Linked DNA regions of Ovis aries. The protein of the gene in region 2 purifies or fractionates together with the protein of the main gene of each other region. This does not show direct contact. Links are inferred from orthologs where the notes say so. Each region holds a gene or a part of one and is shown on either strand. Other genes may lie near its edges.

Evidence for each region.
Region 1: the proteins of TMEM192 (region 2) and ACP2 purify together in Homo sapiens (affinity purification with mass spectrometry; 3 studies listed by BioGRID and IntAct, with this or other methods). This does not show direct contact. The link is inferred for Ovis aries from reciprocal best matches to the Homo sapiens genes TMEM192 and ACP2.
Region 3: the proteins of TMEM192 (region 2) and LAMP2 purify together in Homo sapiens (affinity purification with western blotting; 5 studies listed by BioGRID and IntAct, with this or other methods). This does not show direct contact. The link is inferred for Ovis aries from reciprocal best matches to the Homo sapiens genes TMEM192 and LAMP2.

The regions. Positions count from the first base shown.
Region 1 is NC_056068.1:76,049,788-76,053,773, forward strand, and holds the start of ACP2 (lysosomal acid phosphatase), read right to left. Parts: upstream 2,504-3,986; 5' UTR 2,481-2,503; coding exon 2,367-2,480; intron 1,805-2,366; coding exon 1,709-1,804; intron 1,419-1,708; coding exon 1,332-1,418; intron 446-1,331; coding exon 293-445; intron 182-292; coding exon 83-181; intron 5-82; coding exon 1-4.
Region 2 is NC_056070.1:393,587-397,572, forward strand, and holds the start of TMEM192 (transmembrane protein 192), read right to left. Parts: upstream 2,779-3,986; 5' UTR 2,713-2,778; coding exon 2,704-2,712; intron 1-2,703.
Region 3 is NC_056080.1:104,780,989-104,784,874, reverse strand, and holds part of LAMP2 (lysosome-associated membrane glycoprotein 2), read left to right. Parts: intron 1-2,936; coding exon 2,937-3,095; intron 3,096-3,886. UniProt on the Homo sapiens protein: Lysosomal membrane glycoprotein which plays an important role in lysosome biogenesis, lysosomal pH regulation and autophagy.

The DNA.
Region 1 (3,986 bases), on a different chromosome or scaffold from region 2:
ATTGCTAAGAAACACGATCAGGGGGTCAGTCCTGCCCGGGGCTGAAGGTCGGGGTGGTGCCCTCCACCTCAGCCCCACTCACTGCATTCTGAATACTCTCGTTCTGATACTCAGGCGTCCGCCGGGTCTCATTCTGCAGCTGTTCAAAGCGGGGGCATGGGCCCAAGGGGAACTTCAGCAGCTGCAGACCAGAGCGGGGGTAAGCAGAGGCAGAGAAGGAGTCGGGGATCAGCAGGCCAACGGCCAGAGTCGTGCCTGCCGTCGCCTCGAGAGAAGGGCGGGCCAGGCTTACCCTGTCCTCGGCAATGGGCACGGTGTGGACGGGGATAGGCTGCCAAGAAATGTTTGGGTTAAAGCGCTGCATCCCGTCGGGCGGGAAGAGTCCAGCCAGGTTGGCCTCCGCACTCATAAGCGTCCGGTCAAAGTCTGTGCTTCGCACATAAACCTGCAGAGATGACAACATCAGTCCCACCTGTGGGAGTCGGGGAGTGGGGGCAGCTGTGGCCTCACAGTGGGGCCCCAGTTCTTGCTGTTCACCCAGCAAATTGTGAATCCACCAGGCATCTGGCCTTCTCCCCTTCTCTGGCCTTCCCCACCCATCTTCCAGCCTAGACGGATGGGGTTGCTGTCCCCCCATCTACAAAGAATTCCTGCGGGAATGGCTATAGGTCAAATGCCCCTCCCAGTCTAAAGTGCTTACTCAACAAGGCTCTCGGGTCTGCCAGCCTGCCTGGTTTATTACAACACCTGTCTCCCTTATCGATGCCCGGGTCCTTGGGGGCAGAAACTGTCTTTAATCTCACACACACACACACACACACACACACGCACACACACACACACTGCTTAATAACTGGCTTACAGAGCAGGAGAGGAAACAAGATGAGGAACAGAGATAAGTGCCTGTGAAAAGGGAGGAAGAAGTTAGAAAGGGCAAGATCAGGATAGGGCCGGCCCTCAAGGAAACAGTAACAACCTGAGGGACACAGATTGGATCTGGCTGATGCACTGTTACACGCAGTGCCAGCACAGTGCCTGGCCCGTAACAGTACTTGGATGGAAAGCCTGAGTTACTTCACAGAGTTGGAAACTACTCTGCGAGGCCCTTAGGTCTGGGCTTGGATGCTTGAACAGTTTGGCTTCTTCCCAAGCCAAGCAGGGGCAACTCAGCCTCCAGAGTTTTGCTCCAGACAGCCCGTGGACGCCTCATCCTGCAGCTGTAACCAGAGACGCACGGAGGAAGGCCACAGTGCCCGGGTCACCGGCAGTCTCCCCGAGGGCAGAGGGTGAGAACAGCCGATCCCTCCTCCCTCTCGAGTTCCCAGCCTTACCTCCTGCCGGTGGTAAGAGGCGTTGAGGAAGCCACGGTAGCGCTGTCGCAGAGCCTGGCCCAGCTCCCAGTGCTGCAGCATGCCCTCCTGTGGGCAAACCCAAGGGTTAAGAGGCCCCGGGGGAGAGGGATGGCGCATGAGGACAATAGGGGCTAGCCACGGCTGCTTTCCACCTTGCGGTTGGAAGCAGATGGGTTAATCTGATCCCACAAGTCGTTTATTAAGGGGTTGATTGTGTGTGCATTGTGTGTGCCCATTTTAATCTGGGCACAGATGAAAGTGAGCTGAAGAAATGTGGCCAAAGTCAGCAGCCACATGGGGAAAAGCAGTCTGGTGAGTTCTGCAGCTCATCCTGAGAGAGCTGGCTCCTGACCCACCTTGGTTAGCTGACCAAAGCCCTGGGGCCATTTGTCTTCCTGATGGGGGTCCTTGGGATATGTCTTCACTGGAGAGCGGTCTCCATGTCGGTACAGCTGAGGAAAGAAAGTGGTGAGCCCAGAGGTCAGAGGGTCCCCTTGGTGTGGACACAGAGCCAACCTCTGCCCCATGTTGAGAGCCTTAACTCTACCCACGGCGAAAAACCCCAAACTAGAAGTCACTAACTTCTTGCAGCCTCCAGAGACTCTTAACTTGGTTAAGCAGTGCCGCTGGAGACCTTGGGAAAACCGAAAGTACAGGAGGGAAAGGGAAAGAAATGAAAGCAATGCAGGTGTGTTGTGGGGGAGGGGGGACTGGAAAAAAAATCACCAAAGGTTGCCTTAGAAGTGAATCTCTTATAAATCACTGAACTACATCCCACTCCCAAGGCAGACTCACCAATCTATCCTCTAATACAGAACTCCGTGTACCCTGCCCCCAACCCTAAATACCCCAGGGCTTCACAAAAACTGCGAACCCTGGCCCCCAACCCCGCAGGCCAGTCGTCTCCCCACTCCTCCAGACCCTAGACCCCAGCAAAGCCCCGCCCCTCCCTCCACCAGCAGGCCGGTGCCCTCCTAGCACTGGCCAGCCCTTGGCGACCCCATTTCTCATTACCAAGGTAACGAAACGCAGAGTCCGGGCCTGGGTGGGTGGCATCACCATCAGGTTCACACCAAGAATGAGCTGGAGAAGAGCCGCCCGGCTCCAGCCAAACCGCCTGCCCGCCATCACCGCTGTAGTCTATGCAGCACAGAGGCTGGAACCCTCTAGGTGACACTTGCAGCAGCCACCCGGACGCACCCTTAAGAACACACGCCGGAAGTGCGCTCGCCGCCATCTTGGTAAAGGCGCGCGGCAGGGATGGTGGGAGGAGGAATCCCGGAGGGAATTCCTGTAGGAGGTTCGCGATCCTGCGGTGGAAGAGGAGCATGGGACTGTAGCGCGACCTCGCCCTGCAGAAAGGGTTTGAAGACCTCGTCCTGGTAAAGAGACCCCTGAGCGTGGATTTTGCCTCTGGTCACGGAGACCCACGTACCAAGGTGGCTCTTGAATTCGGCTGGACCGTGGCCGGGAGAGCGAGCGCCCCCTCGGGCCGGGGGGTGCCGTCAGGCTTGACCTAGAGCCAGAGCCCGTGCCGAATTGAGGCGAGGGGTGGCCCAGGGGTGGAATTTGAGCCTTGGCCCGGGCTCTTATTCCCTGAAAGAAGGCTTGTTCGGGGTGTAGGGCACAGGGTGTACCAGCCCTTTGGACTTCCTGTGTGCCTGAGGTTGGTCCCAGTCTAGCCTACTGCTCATTTCCTGAGCAGAGCTTAAGGTGCTCTCTCACTTCCCCTTCCAGTGCTTTTCCCTCTCCTCCCACCCGTCCACTTCCAGGTTTTAGATGATTAGAATCGAGATGCTGTGCCTCTTCTCAAAGGGGTTGGGTTGCACAGGATGTTCAGTCTCCAAAACCAAAGCAGTGAATCCTCAGGGGAGACATTTCAGACCAGTGGGGAGATATTTTAGGGGTAAGGGAAAAGAGGATATCATACAGTAGGAGTAGATGGGCTTTCCACAGAATCAGACAGAGGCCCGCTTGGCACTCATCGCTAGGATATAGGTGAAGCCAGTCTGGCTTCAGATCTTTGTGACTCTGAACTTGGGGAGGGACTCACTGCTCCAGGAAGTCAGGTCAAAGGCCATTGAGATGCTTTGATTCAGTCTGGCCCCTAGTAGCCAATTACCTCAGATCATTGGAGAAATAAAACCTGATCAGAACATGTGGAAGAAAGCAGAGTCATTATTTTGCCCCAGAACTCCAGATTGAATTATTTACATATATTTCAGGATCTAAACTTTGCTTCCGAAATTGTTATGGAGGAATGAATAGAAATTGAGAGCTGAAGGCTCTCAGAAAAATGTCCATACACAAATAGAATTTTGTACACAATCCCAAGAAGTTCATGAAGACCATTAATAAGCTTCATAAATCCGCATCTCTGAATCCTTGATGTAACCTAGTCCCCTTTTCTTCACAGATAAGAAAACAAATCCTAAAAGAGGAAATGACTTGTCCAAGGTCACACAGTTTAGGAGACTGGATTAAAACTCAGGTTTTCTGATTTCTAGTCAAATTGTCCTGTTATAAACAGACTATGTCTCACAGGCTACTCAAACTGCATTGTTTAACTATATTCAGTGGCCCCCAAATATTTTCAATAAAGAGATTTCTAGCAAAGGAAACCTTTTCACATGG
Region 2 (3,986 bases):
CTCAGAGGCATACAGAACAGGACTTAGCTGAACAGGGATTCTGCACTCTTTGGAGCTCTCCCTCTGTACAGTGCTCTGCTCTCTGGGTTCTCTGGTGAACCCAAGTTGCTTCAGTATCCCCAGATTCAGCTCCACCTCCTCAACTCAGGGTCCTACTGAAGCCCACCTGGTGCCCCTACCTCTGCCATAGCCCACAAACTCTCTTTAGGCAGTGAGCTGGCAATTACACAGCTCGTGTTGTTTCCTATCTCTCAAAGATCACTCTAGTTCATTGCTTGATGTCTATTATCTCAAAACAATGTCCCTTCATATACAGATATTTTGTTCTTCCAGGCAGAAAGAAGCACAAGGTATGAAAGTGGTTGGAACAGGTGTGCTTCACAGGGCAGGACTCTACATTATACTTTATTCTTTGTACCTTTAGTACCTGACACACAGCAGGTGCTCAATATGTGTGTAGAGTGAATGAAAGATGGCCCAACTTCTTGAACAGTTGGGATCTAGGAATTTTTTAAAAGACAGCACTGAAACCCTGACTGTAAGACAGCAGTCTACTTTATCTCTCTCTTGGTCCCTTTCATGCACTTTCTCCTCTGGTCTGCATGAGCTTTTTGGAGTGCCCACAAATACCCTCTCTTATCTTTTTCAGCATCCAACTCATCTTTCAAGGTCCAACAGAATTTCCATCCTCTATAAAACTTGTCTTGCCAAGTGTTTTCTTTCTACTTTAAAACCAAGAAAGGTATTGCATTTCATGTGCTGACTTGTATTGTTTCATTTATGTGTATGCCTTTTGTTCTCCCTCACTACACTGAAGGGGTCGGGGACAATATGGTTTCTGTCACTTATTCAATGTTCATGAAATACAATGTGTTTGGTGACTATATCAAATACACTGTCCTTTGGATCCTATAAGAAATGTAGGAGAACTATACAAACAGCATCCTGTCTCTCTCTGTAACTTGTCATCTGCAAGAGAACGGTGAAAGGAATAAGACTCTTAAAATAATCACACTGCTACCTGGAAAAGATACCTGTTGTTTGTCCACATCATCTCCTCCCTTTTTTGTCACAATTATTACTTCCCCTTTGGGGACCCAAAGTCTACCTCTGCAATCTCAAGGGGAATATCCTTCAGTGCTCTTCACCTTCCTCTGGTCTAAGGATGGTCATGAAACCAAAAAGGGTTAGGCCAATCTAACTCTCTCTTAGAGTAACAGAGCAAACAAAAGGCCATGGTTGAGATAGATCCATCCCAGAAGAGATTCTGAAAGGACTCCTGTCACTGGATCCCTTAAGCAGCCCTGGTTTGAATCCTTTCAGAGAATTAGGTGTTCATCTACCCTATATCCTTTCAAATAAATCCCTTTCTTCCTTAAAGTAGCCAAAATTGGTTTGCCCGCTTGCAAACAAAGAACCCAAACTAAAAAGTTTTTGTCTCTTAATTCATTTAGGCCTAGGACATGGCACATAGTTTTTAGCTTTCTCTTGGGTGGGAGAAATCATATCCACAAATACCAAAGGTAGGCAATTGTTCATACCTAAAGTAACCTAGCTATGTAGATATTGGTGAAACATTACTCTCCAATCTTCTGGTGAAACAAATTTCTAGGATTGTACTAATCCTAAAGCTAAAAGTTACAGATCCAAGAACCTGGAGGCAGCTTAGCACCAAGCAAGAAGCATTTACTGCACACATTTTTATGAGTCTCATTTTCCATTTAGATACTCATTTTCTCCACATATTTTCAATTCATGAATCTCACCCTTTAAAAATTCAAAAACAATCAATTTTTCTTTAAATATATGAATCTCAAATCCACTTTCAGGTGTTACAGTTAGCTTTCCACTTTCTCATAGTGTAAAAAACATGGGTTTTAGTCCTATCATTAGAAATTGTTTGGTCTTTATTTAGTCAAGATAATTGAACTATGGTCACTATTTGCACAAGAATCTAAGGTACTGTAGGGCTGGAATTGTATTTCAAGTGTCTTGCGTGATGCATCTCATTCAGCGGCAGGATCACAGTAATATGCCTATTAATTTATTAACTTAAATCAGTGCTTTAATATAACTATTAACTTTGCATTTTCTCAAGAGCAAGAATTTTGTAATTCAATGGGTAATCCAGTTAATTCTGGGCACAAATACATGCTTTTCCTAAAAATGTTTTAATACCCTCAAGCAAAGACTTTTACAGTTACGCTGCACTCTGTACACTGTAACTAGTGCAGTGGCTTCTAATAATCCTGTTTGGATCCACTTAAGATTTAAAAATCCCTTCACTCCTACCAGGCCTCCATTTAAAACATCATATTGTTTGTCTCCAATGCGGGTTTCCGTGTGATGATAGCGACAGATCTGCCCTCAGAGCCAAGGCCGGAGGCCAAGAGGAGGTGGACTCGCTCCTGCGCCCGAGGCCATGCGCGCATCGCTGGCCTCCCCAGTTCTGGGACCCGACACGCGACCGCAAGGGCTGGGCGCCCCTCCTGCTTCCTGTGACGAGAAAATAAGCCCAGGGCCAGCAAGGCGCGGACCCCGCCGGCGCCCCTGCGCCTCCTCCCACAAACCGCAGCCCGGTAACCGCGCGCAGAAGGATCCCCTCCGCCAAGTCTGTTCCCAACCCCGTCTCTGCCCAGGGCGCCCAGCATCAGAGGAGGGGTATGCGGGCCGGTGGCTCGCCACCTGCCACTGAGCACTCACGTCCTCCATACTGCCGGCCGCCGGAGGCCGCAGCCGGGCCGCCCAGCCTCCGCACCTGAGCCCGCGCCGCCTTCCGGGACACGCCCTGGGACCCACCCTTTGCTTTCAATTGGCCGAAGCGTAGAGGCGGGCCCCTCCTCCTCGCTCCAGGGCCCTGCTTCCGGCGGCAGTCCCAGGCCCGCCCCTCGCCCTCGATTGGCAGAGGGGCAGGAGTGATTGGTCCCGCCTCTTGCTTACTATTGGTAGACTCTGAGGGGGCTGATCCAATACCTCGATCCCGAATGGCCAAGGAGAAAGGGGGAGTGACCCTTCCCGAAGTCCCTCCCTGGGAGGCCGCTGGCTCTGGGAACGCTGCGGTGCCTACGGACTGCGAAACCTGCGCTAGTGTCCTAGGTTGGCCAGAGATTTGGGCGCTAATGGATGCGTTCTAAGTCCAATAATTGAACTACTTTTGGCCGTCAGCTGCTTCTTTATAAAGCATTATTTTTTCTCGGCTTTCTTTAGTTATTGTTTGCAGCGTAGACCTGTGCATAGGACCCGCGGTAGAATCCCAGGTTTTCATTGATAGCACAAAACTCCACCATCAGAGGAACACAAACAGAATAAAAACTGTTTTCGAGGACACAGTTAATGATTTCACCAGTGGGAAAGGAGGAAATAAGGGGTTTTTTTTTTTTTGGGGGGGGGGGGTTGGACTTTTTATTCCAAGTGAAATTGAACAAGAAATTTTATGGCATTTTTCTGAGACTACACTATCGTTTGTTAAAACGTGAAAGTGACGTTGTTCAGTCGTATCTGACTCTTTGCGACCCCGTGGACTGTAGCCTACCAGGCTCCTCCGACCATGGGATTCTCCAGGCAAGAATACTGGAGCGGGTTGCTGTTTCCTTCTCCAGGGGAACTCCCAGCCCAGGGATCAAACCCAGGTCTCCCGCATTGGAGGCAGACGCTTTAACCTCTGAGCTACCAGGGAAGCCTGGTTAAAGTGTTAAGAAAGTTAAAAATGTTGTCAATATCAGCCCCCATTCTATTGTTATATTGTAGTAATAAACTTTCATACTTTTTAATGCTTATTTGTACATTGTGTATGGTGTAATCTTGTTTATACCATTGTTGAAATAAAATTATTTACGTATCAGCCAAGAAAAAGATGGAAGAGCAAGCAGATCAAGCCAGTCAATCCTAAAGGAAATCAACCTGAATATTCATTGGAAAGACTGATGCTGAAGCTGAAGCTCCAACAGTTTGGTCACCTGGTGTGAAGAGCCGACTCATTAGAAAAG
Region 3 (3,886 bases), on a different chromosome or scaffold from region 2:
ACCAGGCTCCCCCGTCCCTCGGATTCTCCAGGCAAGAACACTGGAGTGGGTTGCCATTTCCTTCTCCAATGCATGAAAGTGAAAGTGAACTCGCTCAGTCCTGTCCTACTCTTAGTGACCCCATGGACTGCAGCCCACCAGGCTCCTCCATCCATGGGATTTTCCAGGCAAGAGTACTGGAGTGGGGTGCCATTGCCTTCTCCGGCAGTAAAAGCAGATGGGGGTTAATCTGACAGATTTGATGGGAAGATTGTGGACTTTGAAATGTTAACACCGATCTCTCCCCCCCATTTTTTATTTATGTATTTATTTATGACCTCGGGAGACGTGGGTTCAAGCCTTGGATCGGGAAGATCCCCTGGAGAAGAGAATGGCTACCCACTCCAGTATTCTTGCCTGGGAAATCCCATGGACAGAAGAGCCTGGTGGGACACAGTCCATGAGGTCGCGAAGAGTGGGACATGACTGAGCTACTAAACAGCATTAACAACATTTTTTTGGCTGTACCACATGGCTTGTGGGGGTCTTAGTTTCCTGACTAAGGGAAGCTACAATGTTTATTGCTAGCTTCTGTAATATTTGAATCTATTTGAGATTTTAAATGACTCCCTTAAACTGTCCATAGTTTTTAGAAATAATTTAGTATCCTATTTTTAGGCATCTGGTAATTGAAGTGACTTTGAAGTTGTTTTTTGTTTTTGGATGTGCGACAGTTTCTCGGAGTTTAGTTCCCCAACCAGCAATTAAACCCGCATCCTTGGCAGTGAAAGACTGGAGTCCTAACCACAGGACTGCCAGGGAATTACCTCCTGCTGTTTCCTTTAATTTTTTCTTTTTCATGATTAAAATACAGTGTATGCTTCTCAGTGTTATATGCCAACTTGGATGGGAAGTTGGGGGGAGAATGTGCTTCGCCGCCCAGTCGTGTCTGACTCTCTGCGACCCCATGGACTATAACCTGCCAGGCTCCTCTGTCCATGGGGATTCTCCAGGCAAGAATACTGGAGTGGGTTGCCACGCCCTCCTCCAGGGATCTTCCCAGCCCAGGGATCAAACCCAGGTCTCCCTCATTGCAGGCGGATTCTGTACGTCTAAGCCACCATGTATATGTATGGCTGAGTCCCTTCACTTAATCGGCTATTCCCCAATACAAAATGTATTTGGTGTTAAATAAATGAAAAATTTTAAAAATTTACAGTGTAGAAATAGAAAAGTACAGGAAATAACAGAACCACACATAAATCCATTACCTAGAACTAATGCTGTTTTTTCCATATTTGCCTCATTGTTTTATTTCAAGAAATAAAAAACCTTACCAGGTACTCTAGAGGTTTCCTTTGTACCCACTCCGCAGAGCCATTTTCCTCCTTGCCTCCCAAGAAGGGACCACTCTTGGGAGTTAGGAGTGTAGCCTTCTTGTCTATGTGTTTGTGTTTGACTAATATATATGTCAATATATGTTCAGACACAATACATCATTTTAAAAATGACAGTTTTATAATGTAACTCCGGTGTCTATGACTTGTTTTTGCACTCATTTGTTTTTAGAGGTCTGTCTATGTACAGCCAGTTCAGACATCTGTTCACTTAGTTAACAGTGAAAAATGGTTTTGGAGGAAACTGTTCTGGTTCATTGGTTTAAATTTTTTTTTCAATTTGGCATTTCACTATAGGCGTTATAATAACTGCACAGAAAGGCAGTAACTTATTGCTTTCGTATTCTGAGATGTTCCTAAAATGGAGTAGTCTCTAAATTCTGTCCAGGAAGAGGTTTCAAAAACTCATTTTAGTTACTTTCACTTACTTTGGGATTGTAGCACAAAAATAATCCTTGATTATCCCATCTCTCTTGTTTGTTTTGTCGCTAAGTCCTGTTGCCTCTGCCTTAGATATGTGTTTTCAATTTGCCTCTCTGCTCTCTTCTTGGGCTGCCCTGGTGGATCAGTGTGGTAATGAACCCGCCTGCCAGTGCAGGAGATGTGGGTTCAATCCCTGGGTCGGGAAGATCCCCTGGAGGAGGAAATGGCAACCCAGTCCAGAATTCTTGCCTGGGAAATCCCATGGACAGAAGGAACTGCCGGGCTACACTCCAGGGAGTCACAAAGAGTCAGCCATGACAGAGCACACACGCATGCTCTCTTACTGCCCCTCACTCTCTTGGTTTAGGCAACTCCTCCTCATCTCCCCTGCTTTTTTATACTTTTATTTATTTATTTATTTTTGTGCTGGATCTTTGTTGCTGTCACGCTTTTCTCTACTTGTGGTGACCAGTCGCTTCTCTCTAGTTGTGGTGTGCGGGCTTCTCATTGAGGTGGCTTCTTGTTGTGGAGCATGGACCATAGGACGCACGGGCGTCAGTAGTTGCAGCACGTGGGCTCTGGAGCACAGGCTCGATTGCTCTGCGGCATGTGGGACCTTCCCAGATCAGGGAGCCAGTCCATGTCTGCTGCATTGGCAGGTGGGTTCTTTACCACTGAGCCACCAGGGAGCCCTCATCTTTCCCCTTAACCAGGTCATTAGCCTACTAACTAGTTTACCTCTTAAATGACTTCGCTTAAAAAGTTTTCTGCTCTGCCTGACCTCTACAGTTTTGCTGTCTTCCTTAAATGACACGTTTGTTATTTCCAGCTTTAAAAACTGAAACTCACCTTCTATTGCTAACAAAACAATGCCCAACCTGTCCTTAGGTCATAGAACATGCTGCAAAGTGTGACCACCTGCAACTTATCTTTCCTTCCTAATCCCCATCACCCCTTTCCTCTTAACCCCTTGTTTTTAGCCACAGTGAATTTGTCGGTCCCTGAACAGGCCTTGTCTGTTGTCACTTCAGGAGTTGGGTGGGGCAGGCATACAGAAAAGGTGAAAGTCTATGTATTTATATGATCACTTTCCTCCTACCTTCTTGGAAATAGCTGTTGTTAAATCTTATCTTACAGGAGTTTTTACTGTTAATAATCGTGTGGCACTCAAGATTCCATTGAATGACATCTTTAGATGCAATAGTTTGTCAACCTTAGAAAAAAGTGATGTTGTCCAGCACTATTGGGATGTTCATGTACAAGCGTTTGTCCAGAATGGCACAGTGAGCACAACAGGTGAGACGTTTCTGTACTTGGGTCCTGACTTAAGATGAGAGTATACCAAGAAGCTTTAGTTGAAGTATCATCTGAAGCATTTATATGGTAATACTTACAGCTTCATTGCACTGTAACGTTTTTATAAATAACGGCAATCCTTATTCTGGTAGAGCTTGCACTTTGAGGTTTCTGATGGACATGTGGCGGAATGATTTTCTGAAATACCCTACCTCTGGTGCTCTCCGTGGATAAAACCTAATCTTGGTTGGAACAAATCCTCAAATAGCATTTGATCCTCAGTTTCTAAGCTTTTGAAGATCCCAGACAAAAGCTGAGAAATTGGATTTCTGTGTTCTAATCTTGACTTTTATAAATTGATTTGGTAACTTTTACATGACTTTATTGGAAATTCATTAATTTCTTAGCCACCAGTTCTGGAAAACGACCAACACTTCCTAAGAAGTTGAAATGCCTATGATTTGCTGTAGGGGCAACACAGATAAAAGGTTCATTTGTATTTAAATCCTTCAGTGATTTTTAAACTGTTGTTTTAGTTAAAAACACTTTTTTTTTTTTTAACGTAGGGGTGAACTGTTTTCAAACTTAAATCTCTGATTTTCATCTCAGAAGCAGGTGATAATTTGGGGGGGAATAAAGGGTATAAAAAGATGAGTGTGTGGCCACATGTGAGTAGATAAAGCATTTGTATGTGTCTGGAGCCCATCTGCTGTGTCATAACTTTTTAAAGATTGTCTGCATGTGAAGCAGCAGTTTGAGGACCTCCGCCTCATTTAGTTTAAAATACTAAT